Linked DNA regions of Macaca mulatta. The protein of the gene in region 3 purifies or fractionates together with the protein of the main gene of each other region. This does not show direct contact. Links are inferred from orthologs where the notes say so. Each region holds a gene or a part of one and is shown on either strand. Other genes may lie near its edges.

What was found. Proteins that work in one complex are often made in the same cells at the same time.
Region 1: the proteins of SNAP23 (region 3) and VAMP8 purify together in Homo sapiens (affinity purification with western blotting; 3 studies listed by BioGRID and IntAct, with this or other methods). This does not show direct contact. The link is inferred for Macaca mulatta from reciprocal best matches to the Homo sapiens genes SNAP23 and VAMP8.
Region 2: the proteins of SNAP23 (region 3) and VAMP2 purify together in Homo sapiens (affinity purification with western blotting; 4 studies listed by BioGRID and IntAct, with this or other methods). This does not show direct contact. The link is inferred for Macaca mulatta from reciprocal best matches to the Homo sapiens genes SNAP23 and VAMP2.
Region 4: the proteins of SNAP23 (region 3) and VAMP3 purify together in Homo sapiens (affinity purification with western blotting; 6 studies listed by BioGRID and IntAct, with this or other methods). This does not show direct contact. The link is inferred for Macaca mulatta from reciprocal best matches to the Homo sapiens genes SNAP23 and VAMP3.

The regions. Positions count from the first base shown.
Region 1 is NC_133418.1:38,814,519-38,818,624, forward strand, and holds the start of VAMP8 (vesicle-associated membrane protein 8), read right to left. Parts: upstream 2,819-4,106; 5' UTR 2,803-2,818; coding exon 2,800-2,802; intron 1,439-2,799; coding exon 1,280-1,438; intron 1-1,279. UniProt on the Homo sapiens protein: SNAREs, soluble N-ethylmaleimide-sensitive factor-attachment protein receptors, are essential proteins for fusion of cellular membranes.
Region 2 is NC_133421.1:9,677,662-9,681,887, forward strand, and holds the start of VAMP2 (vesicle-associated membrane protein 2), read right to left. Parts: upstream 2,819-4,226; 5' UTR 2,718-2,818; coding exon 2,716-2,717; exon of another isoform or gene 2,283-2,715; coding exon of another isoform or gene 2,275-2,282; intron 2,201-2,274; coding exon 2,080-2,200; intron 1,597-2,079; coding exon 1,438-1,596; intron 1,355-1,437; coding exon 1,303-1,354; intron 695-1,302; coding exon 678-694; 3' UTR 1-677. UniProt on the Homo sapiens protein: Involved in the targeting and/or fusion of transport vesicles to their target membrane. Major SNARE protein of synaptic vesicles which mediates fusion of synaptic vesicles to release neurotransmitters.
Region 3 is NC_133412.1:19,918,213-19,921,772, reverse strand, and holds part of SNAP23 (synaptosomal-associated protein 23), read right to left. Parts: intron 3,215-3,560; 5' UTR 3,201-3,214; coding exon 3,144-3,200; intron 1,751-3,143; coding exon 1,709-1,750; intron 1,297-1,708; coding exon 1,248-1,296; intron 14-1,247; coding exon 1-13. UniProt on the Homo sapiens protein: Essential component of the high affinity receptor for the general membrane fusion machinery and an important regulator of transport vesicle docking and fusion.
Region 4 is NC_133406.1:233,019,367-233,023,595, forward strand, and holds the start of VAMP3 (vesicle-associated membrane protein 3), read right to left. Parts: upstream 2,819-4,229; 5' UTR 2,756-2,818; coding exon 2,754-2,755; intron 691-2,753; coding exon 621-690; intron 1-620. UniProt on the Homo sapiens protein: SNARE involved in vesicular transport from the late endosomes to the trans-Golgi network.

The DNA.
Region 1 (4,106 bases), on a different chromosome or scaffold from region 3:
TCCTGGGACTGAGGGATGCAGGCTCCAGGTGGGCACATCTCCCAGCTACAGGACTCCTTGCCCCATCGGGACTGCTGAGGCTGGAGGAGGGACCAGGACAGTACAGAGGGTTGGAAGTAAGGGAACTCCTCCTCCTCCATGCACTCTTCCCCATGCCCAGCAATTCGAGTTATAGACACTAAATTTCCTAGTGCTTGTCCAGGCATGGTGACTCAAGTCTGTAATCCCAGCACTTTGAGAGGCCAAGGTGGGTGGATCACCTGAGGTCAGGAGTTCGAGACCAGCCTGGCCAACATGGCAAAACTTCGTCTCTACTGAAAATACAAAAATTAGCCAGGTGTGGTGGTGCACACTGTAATCCCAGCTACTCAGGAGGCTGAGGCAAGAGAATCATTTGAACCCAGGAGGCGAAGGTTGAAGTGAGCCGAGATTGCACCACTCTAGCCTGGGCAACAGAGTGAGGCTCTATTAAAAAAAAAAAAAAAATTCCCGGGGCCATGCTCCCCAAATTAAGCTACAATTAAGCTACAGAAACAGGCAATGAGCCCCAGGGAGACAAGGGAGCAATACCCAAGAGCCAAGAGTTCACACAGGACTAAGAAAGCCAGAGCCAGCTTCCCAGCTGGACACAAAACCTGAGGCTCCAGACTTTGCTCAACTTTGGAGTTACTTCCTCCCTGAAACAGCTGGCCGCAGCCCCTGGCTGGAGAGAGAGAAGAATGAAGTCTAGCAAGATGTGTGGGAGATATTATTTTAGCCTTCATCTAGCAGGGGACCCTGGGATCAAAGCATTTCTCTGCTCTTTCCTCCTTCTTTTTAAAGCCAACTCAGCAAGATGCCAGCAATTTCCCACCCCTTGTCTAATAGCTCCTAGAGAAGGCTAGAGGCCACGGTGGGGGGGTTTCCTCAAAGCCAATACTTCTGCCCTGGGAAGGTCAGATCCAAATGATTGTCATGGGCAGGCTTCAAAGGGAAAACAAGTTTCCCGGGAGAGAAGCCTGAGAATGCATGGGCTGACTGAGCTATCAGTCTCAGAATATGCCTCTATGGGTGAGCTGCCACCTCAAGCCCCAGTCATGGGATCCATTCCCTGGGATCCATAACAATCTGTGGAGCAGAGCAGATTCAGAAGTGGAGACTCAGCTCACATCAGCTCCCAAACCAGGTGAAAGGCAACAGAAATGTTACACTTCTGACCCTCCTGTTCATTTTGCCCCACCAAAAAGAAATTCCCTCCCTTCCTCTTTTCCTCCAGCCTCCAGTGGGCTCCCTGTCTCACTGTGGCTTCCAGATCCTCTGTCTTGTTGCGGAGATGTTCCAAGTTTTCCCCTCGGGCCAGGATCCGCTCCACATTCTGGGTCATAATATTCTTAACTCCCTCCACCTCACTCTGCAGGTTCCGCACGCGATCATTTCCTCCACCTTCACTGGCTTCCTCCTGCACAGCAACACGGGGTTAATTAGACCAAGTGGTGGGGGAACTGGAGACTTGGCCTCAGAGGCCTGGGGAGGGTAAGGCCTCAGGCAGACTTCAGCTTTTTGTAAAATGCTTGAAATGTTTACAAAGAGAATGTTTTCATGTATTACTTGTGTAATCAAAAATAAATGCATTTGTAAGCCTCAGAAGGTAAGACGTGATGCTAAAGAGACTAGATCAAACTTCTTTCGGGATTGTTAGGACCCCTGACAAGGAAAAGCAGCGCATCACTAAATCCCTCCCCGCTGCTTCCTTGCTCCCTAGAGAAGGCCGTAGAATACAGCAGAGCCAGCATCTCACAATGTTCCCTTTCCAGGGCAGAGCCCACCACTATTTACAATTCCCGGAGCCACCCCCCTTTCCTGATTTCTCGGGATCCTCATTGAAAGTGTCTGTGCTGGCCAGCAAAACACCCTCACCCAGCCTCACCCATCTGCCCCTCTAAATACCTGCTGGAGCATGGCCCTGGCCGCAATGCCATTGCTGCTGTGACCCAGAACAACAGGCAACCAAGTACCCCAGAAGGCGCCCACAGCCGTTGAGCCACACACTTCTGCTTTCCCTACCACTGGGCACCACGCGCAGGCACCAAGCAACCACCTGCTTATGCAGACATTAAATAAAAATACCCGCCTGGGTGTTGGGGGAAATGGAGGACTAGTCCTCCCTGGCTGATGTCTCATCTCAGAGGCTTCATGACAAGGTTTTTGAACAAGGAGAGAAAAATATTATTAAGCTCCTCCCTCCTTGACCTCCAAAAACAGGCCAGTGGCATGGGTCAGAACTAGCTTATCACAGAGAACCAACTTCTGGTTATCTTATAAACCCTTAGTTCTCTTCTTCATGTTAATGGAGAAAGGACACCCAAAGGACTCAGTGGACACACAAATCCTTTGTGTTTCTGTGTAGGGATAAAGTGAAAGGCCAGAGAGGAGAGCTCCTGCCGCTGGGCTGGAATCTGAACTGGAAACTGCCCAGGCACTGCCTGGTGGTGTCACAACACCCGCCTCGGGCTCCCTGGAGGAGGAAGGCACAACAACACTTTGCCTGGAATTCGGAGCCCCCATTGGCACTGGCACGGAAGCCCAGCTCCCCACCAGCACAGAGGTCAGGGGAGGGAGGAAGAAGGAATAGAAACACCTGCTAGGACGGTTCAGAGCTATTTGCAGCCAAGTTGTCAAAGAGGAGAGGCCACAGGCAGCACTGGCCCAGCCCTCTAACTTTGCCGCCAACTCTCCTCCCCCCACACAGCCAACCCCCAGTCCCGAGCCCCTTCTGGCTCCTCTTTAAATCAGCCCTTTCCTAGTTTCCAGTTCGCTCACCATGTCTCAGAGCAGCCCAGGCCGATCAGCAGGTGAATTCGCCTAGTCGGCTTCCTCCCAGGGTGGCCGTCAGCTCACTTCCTGCTTGCTCCAGCTTTCAGCCTGCCCCCGCCCACCTCGCATCTCGAGTCGCTCCAGCCACACCTAACTCAGGTTTCCCCAGGTAGGCGGGCACTCTTCACTGTCCACCCAGTGGCTTCCCAAACAAGAGCTTAAGCTTAGAGTAATAGGGCTCTCAGATGTTAAAGGTCTTCTAACTTTTCAGGAATTAGAAAAGAAAGATCAAGCAGCCCTCCAAGGTTTCCTGAGGCTGGACCTCCTGATCTAAAAAGGGCAGCCATCTCTCTCTCTCTCTTTTTTTTTTTTTTTTAAATAGAGATGAGGTCTCACCATGTTGCCCAGGCTGGTCTCAAACTCCTGGGCTCAGACAATCCTTCCACCTCAACCTCCCAAAGTCCTAGGAGCCATGACGCCCCACCAGCCATCTCCTTTTAATGTCTTGAATATCTGACTCCAGTTTCTAGAGACAGAGATCAACCATGCCAGGCCTGGCTCACAGGGAAACAAAATGCAGTTATGAAAATTTCTTGCTGGATAACACTTGTTCTCAGGTCCCTCAGTGACAGAAAGCACTAAAACCCCTGAAGTCTGGAATACTGTGATCCTGGGCTCTGATTCAGAAAGCTCTGGGTTACTAGTTACAGGCCCCTGAGTGAACCTTTTCACCTCTGTGGAGTTTGCAGGTGCTGATGCTTAGCTCAGACAGTGCTGGTAAGAAGCAAAAAGAGGCTGGGCATGGTAGCTCACGCCTGTAATCCCAGTACTTTGGGAGGCCAAGGCAGGCAGATCACTTGAGGTCAGGAGTTCGAGACCAGCCTGGCCAACATGGCAAAACCCCGTCTCTACTAAAAATACAAAATAATTAGCCAGGCATGGTGGCAGGTGCCTGTAATCCCAGCTACTCAGGAGGCTGAGGCGGGAGAATCGCTTGAACCTGGGAGACAGAGATTGCAGTGAGCTAAGACTATGCCATTGCACTCCAGCCTGGGCAACAAGAGCAAGACTCTGTCTCAAAAAAAAAAAAAAAGATAGCGTGTGCAGTGCACTGCCACTAGCACAGTGTCTGTAATGAGGGCTCACCAAACCCCTCCTTCCCTTCCAGAGTTCAGCAATTCTGCATTTCCCTTCAGGGACCACCACAGAGGTAATTGATCCCAGTCAGTGATCAGTGATCAGAAGACTGCCCTGGTATACCAGAGCAGGGGCCCAAGGCAAAGGACTTTTCCACTAACCTGGCTCCAGGCCGG
Region 2 (4,226 bases), on a different chromosome or scaffold from region 3:
GGACTAACTCCTCAGTAAAAAAAGAAACACCAGTTGAGAGAAGAGTGATGGAACAAAAAGAAATGGAAAGGGATGGCAGTATGTAATGATACGCTACTTAACATGCTGGACACTCCCAAAGACCTTGGGATTCTTAGGACCAAGTGGGGCCAGTCTCAGAGCCTCCCATTGGATGCAAACAAGATGCACCTAAGGAAGCCTGGACAGATGCTTTTTGTTTTTTGTGGTCTTTTTTGAGGGCGGGGCAGAGGGAGCATGACCGGGAGAGGGAGGAGGAAAGGAAGGCCAGGGTGGGGGGAAGGATCAGCTAAATCTGAGGGAAGAAGAAGGAGAGGAGAGGGACTATTGCATAGCAGATGCAAATGAAGGGACTTGGGGCTAGTCAGGAAGAAAGGGAAAGGGAAGGCAGGCAAGAGAGAGGAGGTGAAGGGAACCTCAGGAAGGGGTGTTAAGGACAACCAGAAAAATCTTCTAGTAATAAAACTACAAACAGACCAAATATATATAATATTATATATGTATAAATAACAGCTGGCTATTTACAGGGGGACACACACACGGACACACACACGCACGGATCCAGGGAAGGGGGGCTGAAAGATATGGCTGAGAGGTGGAGGAACGGCTGAGGGTGGGGGGAGAGGCCCTTCTTTAGGCAGGGCAGACTCCTCAGGGATTTAAGTGCTGAAGTAAACTGTGGAGAGAGGGGAAGAAGATGAGGAAGAGGGAGAGGGGAGAGAGAGAGGGAGAAAGAAAGAAAGCAGTGTGTCAGGCCTGGCCCTGCTCCAATCCTCCCCACTCCCCAGCTGGCTGGCACCCCTACCCCTCTCTTGGACTCAGTTTCTCCATCTACAAAGCAAGGGGTTAGACAGGTAGGTTATGAGGTCCCTTCAGTTCCATGGTATGGCCTTGAGGCCACATACCCTAATCCTCTGAGCCTGAGGCCACAAGCTCTCAAATAATGGGGTGGTTGGCTTCCTGGTCATGTCTCAAGCCCCTGGGCCTTTCCTTTCTCCCACTCCTCAATTCCAGGGCTCTCAGATTGGGCTCTTAGGCCCAAAGGGTCCTCAATGGATACACCAACTTTTATATTTCTAAATGTTAACAAAACTGCCAAGAACCAGGCAAAATGCAGGCTAAATAACATCAAAGTTTTTGGCTCTAGGTGAATCAGAATTGCCATTAGCAGCTATATGTGTTTTTGGCTGAAGAGTAAAAACTAGGTTAATGACCTTCAAAACCCAGAATCCACTGGGGAAACCTCTCCAGGGAAAGGGCCCCGGCCATTCCCAGCCTACTCACCTATGATGATGATGAGGATGATGGCGCAAATCACTCCCAAGATGATCATCATCTGGGGGTGAGAGGAGAGGATCAGCGAGACTAACTATGATACCCCATTCACCTGCCAGTCCTCCTTCCTGTCCCCATCCTTACCTTGAGGTTTTTCCACCAGTATTTGCGCTTGAGCTTGGCTGCACTTGTTTCAAACTGGGAGGCCCCTGCCTGGAGTGCATCTGCACGGTCGTCCAGCTCCGACAGCTTCTGGTCCCGCTCCAGGACCTTGTCCACGTTCACCCTCATGATGTCCACCACCTGGGAGAAGGGCCCACGGGGCAAGGGGGTGTGCCAAGGCCCACCTCATGAGGGCAATCCTCAAACATGTGCCCACCGTGCCACACATGGAACATGCACCCTGATGCTGCCAGGTTAACATGCCAAGGACACACACAGTACATGCCTAGCACACCTGGGGACATGCAAGGAGCACACATCAGGGGATTGCTGGTGACATCTCAGATATCATAGCAACACCCTCCCTCTATGGCGCCTCAGGCGCTCTGTCCATCACCAGAGCACACCTGCCTAGGCTGGCACACCCCAGGCTAGCAAAGCTGATTAACACCCCCAGCACCCTTCCAAGTGCGTGCTGACAGGGAGACACGGATGGGGCAAAGTATCTTTGTCCGCAAACCCACAGGCGTGAACTGTCATCACTCCCAAACCAACATGGGCCCCTACACCTAAACGCCAACCCCCAGGGTCCTTTCTACTGCTTTTGACTCCCCCCACACTCACCTCATCCACCTGGGCCTGGGTCTGCTGCAGTCTCCTGTTACTGGTGAGGTTTGGAGGGGGTGCAGGGGGGCCACCCTCCCCAGCCGGGGCGGCAGGGGGGGCCGTGGCAGCGGTAGCAGACCTGAGGAGCAGGGACGGATTAAGACCCAGGGCCTGCAGTCTCCCGGCCCTGCAGCCAGGGCTCCGCCCATCCACCTGTCCATCCTCGTCCCTCCAGTCCTCCTTTTCGGGAGGAAGGCCACCCGATGGAAGCCCTGGTCCAGGTCCAGCCTCGCCACCGATGAGCTGCGTGACCTTGAGCGAGGCCTCCCCTCCCCCCGGCCTCAGTTTCCCCGCCTGTCAAATGAGGGCGACCTCACAGATGTGATCGGGGTCGACCCGAAAAGACAGGCGGCCGCGGTGACAGGGGCGGGGCGCGGCAGGAGGACACAGGGTCCGCTCCTTCCCGCGGCCATCGCTCGAGCCGGCCAGCCCGAGACGCTGGGCTTCTCGGCCGCCCGCGCGCAGTCACCGGCTTGGGCCTGGCCCCGGGGCGCGGGGAACGCGGGAGAGACCCCGGGCACTCCCCACGGCCGGTTGCCAAGGGCGGCGGCCGGTGCAGGGAAGCGCGGTGAGGGTGGCGGGCGGCCGACTCACATGGCGGGGGCAGCGGGTGGAGGACTTGGCAGCAGCAGTGATGGCGGCGGCGACTCGCGCTGGCTCCGACTGGCGCTGGCTGCCCGGGACGGAAAGATGGCGGCCGCGCGTCACCCGCATCCGGGCACTGCGGGCGGGGGCGGGGCGCCGCGGGCGACGCGTCGGGAGCGGGGCCGCGGGGGCGGGGCGCTGCGGGACTGGGGTCGTGCCGGGCGGGACTGCGGGTCTGGCGCCACCGTGCCCCGGCAGCTCTCTGGGCACTCACGGGACCACCAGGCGGGTTGCTGCGGCTTCCCTAAACCCACCGTCACCCCGCCCTGTCTGAGCACAGCCTTCCACAGCCGCCCCCAAACCTCTTGCCACCTGCCCCTTAGGGCACACAGCAGCCTGGCCCCGCACCTAACCCCCAGACCACTCCCTGAATCGTGAACCCAATAAGCCAGCCTGCATCCCACACAGCCCAAGGTCTCGCCCCGCGCCCAGGTCCCAGCACCTAGCGACCCGCCTTCAGCACTGGGAATGGGCTGGGGTTGGGAAATCAGAGAGGGTCAGTACAGGCGCTGGGGCAATATCGAGAGCGGGGACCCTGCTGCTAGGGTGGAGGGGAGTGGAGGAGGTTGGTCTCAACCCATCACCCCGCTGGTGGATGTCTCAGAGGAAGCCTGCGATCCCAGGCCACTGGGTAGGAGGGTGGGAAGAAAAGATGAGGCAGGCTCTTCCCGCCGAAACAAGTCCAGGGGGTGGAGGACCGGGGAGTGTCTACAGGGTGTGAGGAGGGGGGTGCCCCGCCTCACGATTGAGGTTCAGACCAGGGGTACTTAACAGCTGGAGCAGGCCCGACTGAGGTGGGGTGAGCTGAAGACCCCGAGGAGGAGGGCACAAGGCAGCCGGGGCTGATGGGGGCAGGGGCTGCTTCACGTGGTGGCTGCTGACTGGCCAAGACCTAGCTTTGCCCCAGGCTTGGGTCAGCGACCCCAACTGCAGGAGAGGGCTCAGGCTTTGGTCCCAGGCACAGGGACCAAAAGGCTTTTTTCTCTCTCATTTTTTTTTCTTTAGTAGTAGGCACAGTGGGTACAGTTTACAAGGTGCTGCTTTACATGCGTATTCGCCTCGCAGGTGTGACCTTGGACAGTTGCCCTCCTCTCTCTGGACCCCAAATACATTGCATATGTAGATACTAAATCCATATTCGTTAAATGGCTTGATGTGGATAACATGGAAGATTATCCCTATCTCCATTAGGCCCTCTAAGCACACCCAGAGGCTGTGTACACTCCCACCCAGCTTGTCAGAGAAGATGGGACCAGGGGAGCTGTCGCTCTGGTGGAGTGCAGGGGATCAAAGCAAGCCTCAAGGGTACAGGAGGCATTTTAGGCGAGGCCCTTTGAACCTGGGGTGGGGGTGCTTACTACATCCCTGGAAGGTGCAGGGAGGCTGATGGCCTTGATCTCTGAGACAAACAGGAACCAGCTTCGTCCCTCCCCCACCCTGGCTTCCCAGGGCCTCCGGGT
Region 3 (3,560 bases):
CGGTTTAGTTGTTCTAAGAATAAGTTGTAAAGTTACATTTTGTGTTCCATTCACAGTGTCAACCAGAAAATGCTATTATTATGGAGCAGTCAACTTCAACCTTGAATCTACCAATAACTCCCCACAGTGAATAAGTCAGTGTCAAAAGGTATTAGAAGCTATTCAACATGATAACAATCTTTCACGTACTGATCCTGAGGCACCTAGCCTCTTGCTGTGGAAAAATTTGTTCTAAGAAGTTTGTATATGGCTGGGTATGGTGGCTCATGCCTGTGATCCCAGCACTTTGGGAGGCCGAGGTGGGCGGATCACCTGAGGTCAGGAGTTCAAGACCAGCCTGGTCAACATGATGAAACCCCATCTCTACTAAAAATACAAAAATTAGCTGGGTGTGATGATGGGTGCCTGTAATCCCAGCTACCTGGGAGGCTGAGGCAGGAGAATCACTTGAACCTGGCAGCTGGAGGTTGCAGTGAGATGCAATTGCACCACTGAACTCCAGCCTAGATGACAGAGTGGGATTCCCCTCAAAATAAAATAAAATAAAATAAAAATAAAAAATAAAAGAATCTTGTATAGTAGGACCAAGGGATGGTTATTTAGAGATCATCCTTACAACCAAGTTAAGGGTACTCTGACCAGGTCAAATCCCCATCATTTCTATGAGGTTCAAAACCTGAGGGCTGTTATAGGAGTAATAAAAACTAGACCTGATTAATCAGGGCCAACTCAAGTGCTTCCAAGCACACCTGAATCTAGATCTGTTTTAGGACTTAACTTGATTTGAGGATGATGTAAGAATATCACAATGTCTGCCCAGACATGGTGGCTCATGCTTATAATCCCAGCACTTCGGGAGGCCAAGGTGGACGGATCACTTGAGGTCAAGACTTTGAGATCAACCTGGCCAACACAGTGAAACCTGTCTCTACTGAAAATACAAAAAATTAGCTGGGTGTGGTGGTGGGTACCTGTAATCCCAGCTACATTACTATCATAATGTCTAATGTGTTAGCCATGCTGGTCTAACACATACTCGGTATATACACAGTTGGGCATTGTTGCCTGCCATCCCAAATAGACAGTGAACATGACATTATTCAAACCAGAAGACAAGAAGTAAACATATTATTCTTACTTTACAAAGGGAAGGCCCTCCCAAAGGCTGAAATTTGTATGTGGCTAATCTGATAGGGCTTTTTGGCATCATGGTCAAATTAAGAATTTCTGCTAATAATTTAACTCACCCCCTTGTTCATCCAGCATAGTGATGGTCTTGATTCCTGCATCCTGAGACTAAAAGAAGTGGGAAAAAGGCTGATAGTAAAACAAAACAAACCAAAAACAACAGAAACAAAACCTACAAGAGCTGTCAAATAGCAAGACAGAATAATTTAGAAACCCAAGCTCTCAGAGGATTAGAGCTACAGACAGAACTAGTATTCTTAAACACACTTTAACATAGTAGCCCCCCAAAATAATTAAGTCACAAACTCATAGTGAATTCATCTTCCCTGTCATATTCCAATACTGTCAAAGGGAAAAACAAAAAAGGCCCATTAGTGCATAATTTGACAATTTCAGCAACTGTTAATTTCAAATAATAAAGCATATTGATACATTACCCTTTAACACTAATTCCAGCCAGAAGTATTAGGATATCTCCTATAAATTTTTATACTTAAGTTGGTGACTAACATTTTCTTACCTCAATGGCTAAACCCAGGATTCTCCTCGTACTTTCCAGAGACTAGGAAAAAACACAGAGTTTTAGCATTCCAAAATATGTAAAAAACAAAACAAAACAAAACAAAAAAACCATCCGATCACAGGCCACATTCATGATGCTATTCTATCTTTAAAAATGGCCAGCTCAGGCTGGGCACAGTGGCTCATGCCTACAATCCCAGCACTTTGGGAGGCTGAGGCAGGGGGATTTCTTGAGTACCAGAGTCCAAGACCAGCCCAGGCAACATAGCCCAACGGAGAGACTGTCTCCATTAAAGGAAAAAACAAAAAGAATTGCCAGCCTATCCCTTCCTTTAAAACAATGGGCCGGGCGCGGTGGCTCAAGCCTGTAATCCCAGCACTTTGGGAGGCCGAGACGGGTGGATCACGAGGTCAGGAGATCGAGACCATCCTGGTGAACACAGTGAAACCCCGTCTCTACTAAAACTACAAAAAACTAGCCGGGCGAGGTGGCGGGCGCCTGTAGTCCCAGCTACTCGGGAGGCTGAGGCAGGAGAATGGCGTGAACCCGGGAGGCGGAGCTTGCAGTGAGCTGAGATCAGGCCACTGCACTCCAGCCTGGGCGACAGAAGCGAGACTCCGTCTCAAAAACAAACAAACAAACAAAAAAAACCAAAACAAAACAATGGCCGGGTGTGGTGGCTCATGCCTATAATCCCAGCACTTTGGGAGGCTGAGGTGGGTGGATCACGAGGTCAGGAGTTCGAGACCAGTATGCCCAACATGGTGAAACCCCGTCTCTACTAAAACTACAAAAATTAGCTGGGCGTGGTGGCACATGCCTGTAATCCCAGCTACCCAGGAAGCTGAGGCAGGAGAATCGCTTGATGAACACAGGAGGCAGAGGATGCAGTGAGCCGAAATCACATCACTGCACTGCAGCCTGGGCAATAGAGTGAGACTCTGTCTCAAAAAAAAAAAAAAAAAAGTAAGTTGATCACTACATTTTCGGTTATTTTCAAGTGCTCCTTAAGAGAAAATGTGTAAGGACTTCCAGTGTGATGTTGAAAGGAAAAGTTTTTTTAAAAAAGAGAGAATATTTGGATGGTGAAGTTCATGGGAATAAAAATTTTATAGTCATAAAAATTTAATGTAGGTAGAAATCTAAGTAAATTACAGATATTAGGAAATTGTTAAATAGAAGTCTAGCATTTCTCAAATACATAATAGAGTATCTTTGTTGCACTTAAGTAATAAGTACCTAAAAAATAAAAATCATACAAATTGTTTTCACTTTAAGAAAATAAAAACCAGCAAAGGCACTAAGGGGCAAATGTGTTCTTTGATATTAATGGACTAGGAAGAGGCCAAAATGGTCCCTAAGAAGGCCCTCTCACCCCTCCAATATGAAAACTGAAATAGAATTATTTACTTATTTTAGGTAAAACATTTACCTCATCAGTAATCTGGTGAGCTCTCAGTTGAATTTCTTCTGATGACAGATTATCCATGATGAATCAAAACTCTATTAGGCACAGAAATGGAAATGTGGATATTGTATAAGAATAAGGATATATAAAAGTTTGTGTGAGCAAAAAGTGTAGATTTATGGAATTTAGGAACTTATCAGGAAAACAGGATAAAAGAGCCTCTTTCTATATCTATTAGTCTACCACAAGTAAAGAAATCAAGACCGAGAGAGGCTAAATGAATGTTTAGTAAGAGTGCTAAGGGTGAACCTAAAATACAGGTTTTAGGACTTCTAGGGAAGTACTCTTTCCAACAGGAAAGTGGATCCTTTACTTTGAGAACCAAGGCATTACTGGAAGACAAGCGTTAAAAGACTATTATATTAAAATGAATTTTTGGTT
Region 4 (4,229 bases), on a different chromosome or scaffold from region 3:
AGGAATGTGGAAATACTAGTCTGAATTTCTCAATCTTTTGCTGTGGTTCTCCACATACAGTGCAGAACAAAAGATGAAGGTCCTCTAGCTCAAGAATTCTACAAATAGAGATTTGCTGGGCTAATGGAGTTTGACAGTATCTACTTTGTGTGAGTCAGTGGACAGCCATTAGAGATGAATTCTACAGAGAGGCTTGCTCAGGCTGGATAACTAGTAAGTGGACAAAGCATTTTGATAAAAAATCTGATCAGAAGAACTGGTCTTGGCTTGAGCAATCTAAAGACCTAATCCTAACATTGTATTATCCTATTTTATAAAGTGGTTCTTGGGGAATACACTCAGGGAGTGGTGTTCATGTTTTAAGCATATGATTTTTTATTTTTCCTGAGCTAAATGTTATGAGCAGGTATGTGATTCTACCACAGGAAAACAAGCATGAAACCTAGAAAGTCTGACTTTTGCTTAGATCTTCCAGCACAGCAGGGAGCAAAGTTTTGTTACAATTATGATACAGTCAGAATTTGCTTTACATTCACACTTTCATGATACTTTTTCTAAACAGATTTCCAGAGTGCTCATACTTGTTTAAAATTCATATTTCCAACATTTCAGAGCAATACCTCATCTACTTGATTTTGTGTCTGCTGAAGTCTTCGATTACTGCCAGGGGCAGCAGTTGGACCTGTAGACCTGGAACATGTAAAGGCAGGAGCATGAGTAAATTATGATTCCAAATACATTTTCTTAAGTATAAAGAAGTTACTCCGGGACTCTCACTGTTAACAATTTCTTACATTAGAACTAAAGCAGAAAAAGAAATTCTTCCTGAAGCAATGAACAAAAGTTTTAATTACATTTCTTCTAATTTCTCTATAATTTCCAAGACTGTCCCACCTACTAAAGGGACAAACGTGAAGGTTTAATAGGACCTACTTTGTATCCCTGAAGTATCTGATCCCACGACAGGTAAACTCTACTGTCCTTTTTTGAAACTTGTTCTAAGGCACACATCTGCTTGAACGTACTCAGTACTCTCCTGATCTTTTCATTGTGGCAGGAACTGTTTTCATAGTTATAAACAGTTATAGAATGCCCTTTTTCCAATATAGAAAAATAGATTAATTTACAGAAACAGAGTCAGGAACACTGGGATGCAGGGAGCGGTTGGTGTGAGTGGAAAGGTGTGTTGAAGCAATGCTTCCCCTTTTAGGAAGGTACTCTTTTTTTTTTTTTTTTCCTCTTTTGAGAGACGGAGTTTCCCTCCTGTTGCCCAGGCTGGAGTGCAATGGTGTGATCTCGGCTCACTGCAACCTCCGCTTCCTGGGTTCAAGCAATTCTCTTGCCTCAGTCTCCCAAGTAGCTGGGATTACAGGCATGCACCACCACGCCCGGCTAATTTTGTATTTTTAGTAGAGACGGGGTTTCACCATGTTGGTCAAGCTGGTCTTGAACTCCTGACCTCAGGTGATCCATCTGCCTCGGCCTCCCAAAGTGCTGGGATTACAGGCATGAGCCAGCGCGCCCGCCCCGGGAAGGTACTCATCTTTTAAAATCTTCATCAAAGGCTTTATTTCTCCTCATGCAGATCCTTCTTAACCACTCTGACTCTGAAGTCATTATTGGCTCCATTACTTGGAAAGTATCACTTTGGTTTTTCAGGTATAAAGTCCTGCCTCCTCGAATAGATTACAGGTTCCTGGGTCTTCTTACTCTCTTCTCTGTATCCTAGATAGCACCTAGCATGTACCTTAGTATACAACAGTCTGATGGACTGTTTGAACAGTCACTTTACATCTGTCATGTGTCAATGACCAGGGCTACAACAGATCTCATCGCCGTCCTCACAGAGTTTAGTGTCTGGTAGATAAGTAAGGACCATGCCGTGGTGCTAGACTCTTTTCATGCATTTTCTCCTTCAACTCTCATAACTCTCTGAGGGGAATATTACTCCCATTTTACAGATGAGTAAAGTGAGGTTTAAAAAGTCAACACAGCTGGCTGCCGTTCAGATTGTTTTTAGATCAGGTCCTGTGTACCTGGGATCTAGATCTTAACCACTGTGATCTATTGACACAGCAGCCTCAGCAGGAACATTCGAGGGGGGGTCCCCAACTCCTGGAAGAAACCCGGGGCTTCCTCCGACGGTGAGCAATGAACAGAATGGAGGTGGAAGAGAGGGTCCTTGTGATTCTTAACCATGAACATTCTCTGAGCGTTACCACTGGAAGCACCGGTTTGCAAGGGCCACAAGAGCGCTTTCGCTTAAGAGTGCGAAGGCCCACGGTTAAGTGATCTTTCCAGTGCAGATGCCCCTAGCCAGGCAAGGAGCTCTTGGGCCCACAGTGGCTCAGCACAGGGCCGAGGTCCTTTCTTTTGCAACTTCCGGGGCCCAACTGGGCCGAGAGCCGGCCCTCCCGAACCAGGGCAGTCGTCCCCGTTCCTCTCCGGGACCTCTGGGACTAGAACGGGAAGGGGCGAGGAGCGGGGTGCGGGCGGGCAACTCACTTCCTCCGGGAAGCGCCTCGCCGCCCCGCCCTCGCCCCTTCCGCGTCCGCCCCATGGCAGCGGAACCCGCCCGGCCCGTCTGCAGCCCGCGCCCCAAGGGCTACCGCCCACCCCCAGGCCTCGGGATCCCCGCGCAGCCCCGGCCTGCGTCCGAGCGGCGGCCGGCGGCAACTGGGCGGTACGGCGATCCCAGCGCGAGCTGCCGCCTGCGGGGCCCGAAGCCGCCCGCGTCGCGCAGCGTCACTCACATTTTGGCAGCGGCGGCGGCGGCGGCGGCGAGCGAGGGTCAGCAGAGCAGCGAAGTAGGGACCGGAGGCCAAGGAGATGGGCGGAACGGCGCGACTCCGGGCAAAGACGTCACTAGGCAGGGCCGGCGGGAGTGGGCGGGGCGCAGAGGGGGCGCGCCGGAAGTGGGCGGGGGCGTCGTGGGCGGGCGCGTCGTGGCGGGCTCGTCCAGGGCGGGGTCAGAGCGAGATGTCCACTCCCTGGACTAGGTCACTTGGGAACTTGAGGGCCACAGGGGTCCCAGGGCGGTCCGGGCTCTGAAACGCAGAGTGCAGGTCAATACAGCTTCCTCTCTGCACCGCGGCCCGCGCTGGCGCTTGGGGACGTGGTCTGCAAACGTGGCGCATTAGGCACTGGCTGGGGACTGTGTGGATAAGTGAGGGTGGGCGCAACTCATGTTATTCTGGGCTCGGGACCATTTCTCTCTAACAGTATTAGAGACAGATGATTGGCTTCTGCTGAATGTTCCAGATTAACCTAGTGATCCCGAGGGCACCATGTTTCTCTGAGAAAGTAGTTGAAATAGGAAGTCCATTTCAGGTATTTGTCACATGGGGTTGGGTTAGGTTCCCGCTCATGTTTTCCTCGGTAACACAAATATTTGTCCCTGCAGATCATATTATAATCTGCTTACGAGAGCCTTAGCATCAAGACTGTAGTTCCTTCATTTCTGTATTTTTAGGCCCTAACACAGAATAGGTCCTCAGGTTTTGGTCGAAGGGAGGGAAGCACAAATCTGAACGCAGTGAGTTACCTTGTATATATTTGTCACTGAAATATTCCTACCAACACAGTTACCGACATCAAAAAATAAAACACTATAGGTGTTTGGTCATTGGTGGGTCTCTTAAATGAGAAGTGAAAAATACAGTACTTAAATACTATGCTGTTTTTTCCAACTCTAAATAGAATACTTCGAAAAGGGAAACATTCGTATATATTCGAATAAACGAGACTGTCACAAAGGCGGTGGGATTTGAGCTGGGTACTAGCAGAAAAGAACTTTCCAGTAAGGGTTGGACAAACACCATGAACAAAGACAGCAGTGAAAATGGACGCAGTGTGCACAGACCACCTACAGGGTGCAGGTTGGGTACAAGTGAAAAGAAGACTGAATAAAGAGGGTAAACAAGAAAAATGTCATTTGATTGTAGTGGGCCCTGGAAACCATTGACTCACGGACTTGGGAGATCCGTGCTGCACAATTTCTCTGGCAGTAGCGGCCAGATGGATCAGATGGAAGAGGGAGCACTAGGGAGATAAGGAGAGGCTCTGCAGTGAAAGGGAATGGAGCAGCGATGACACAATACTCAGAAAGGAGGACGTTCGTCATCGCTGGAAAATGCCTTTTAGAAGACTTTCAGAGGATTGTAACTGAAAAGGTGAATTAAATTAGTGTCTATCTTTCAAATAACTGCACTGCCTTACACAAATGATTG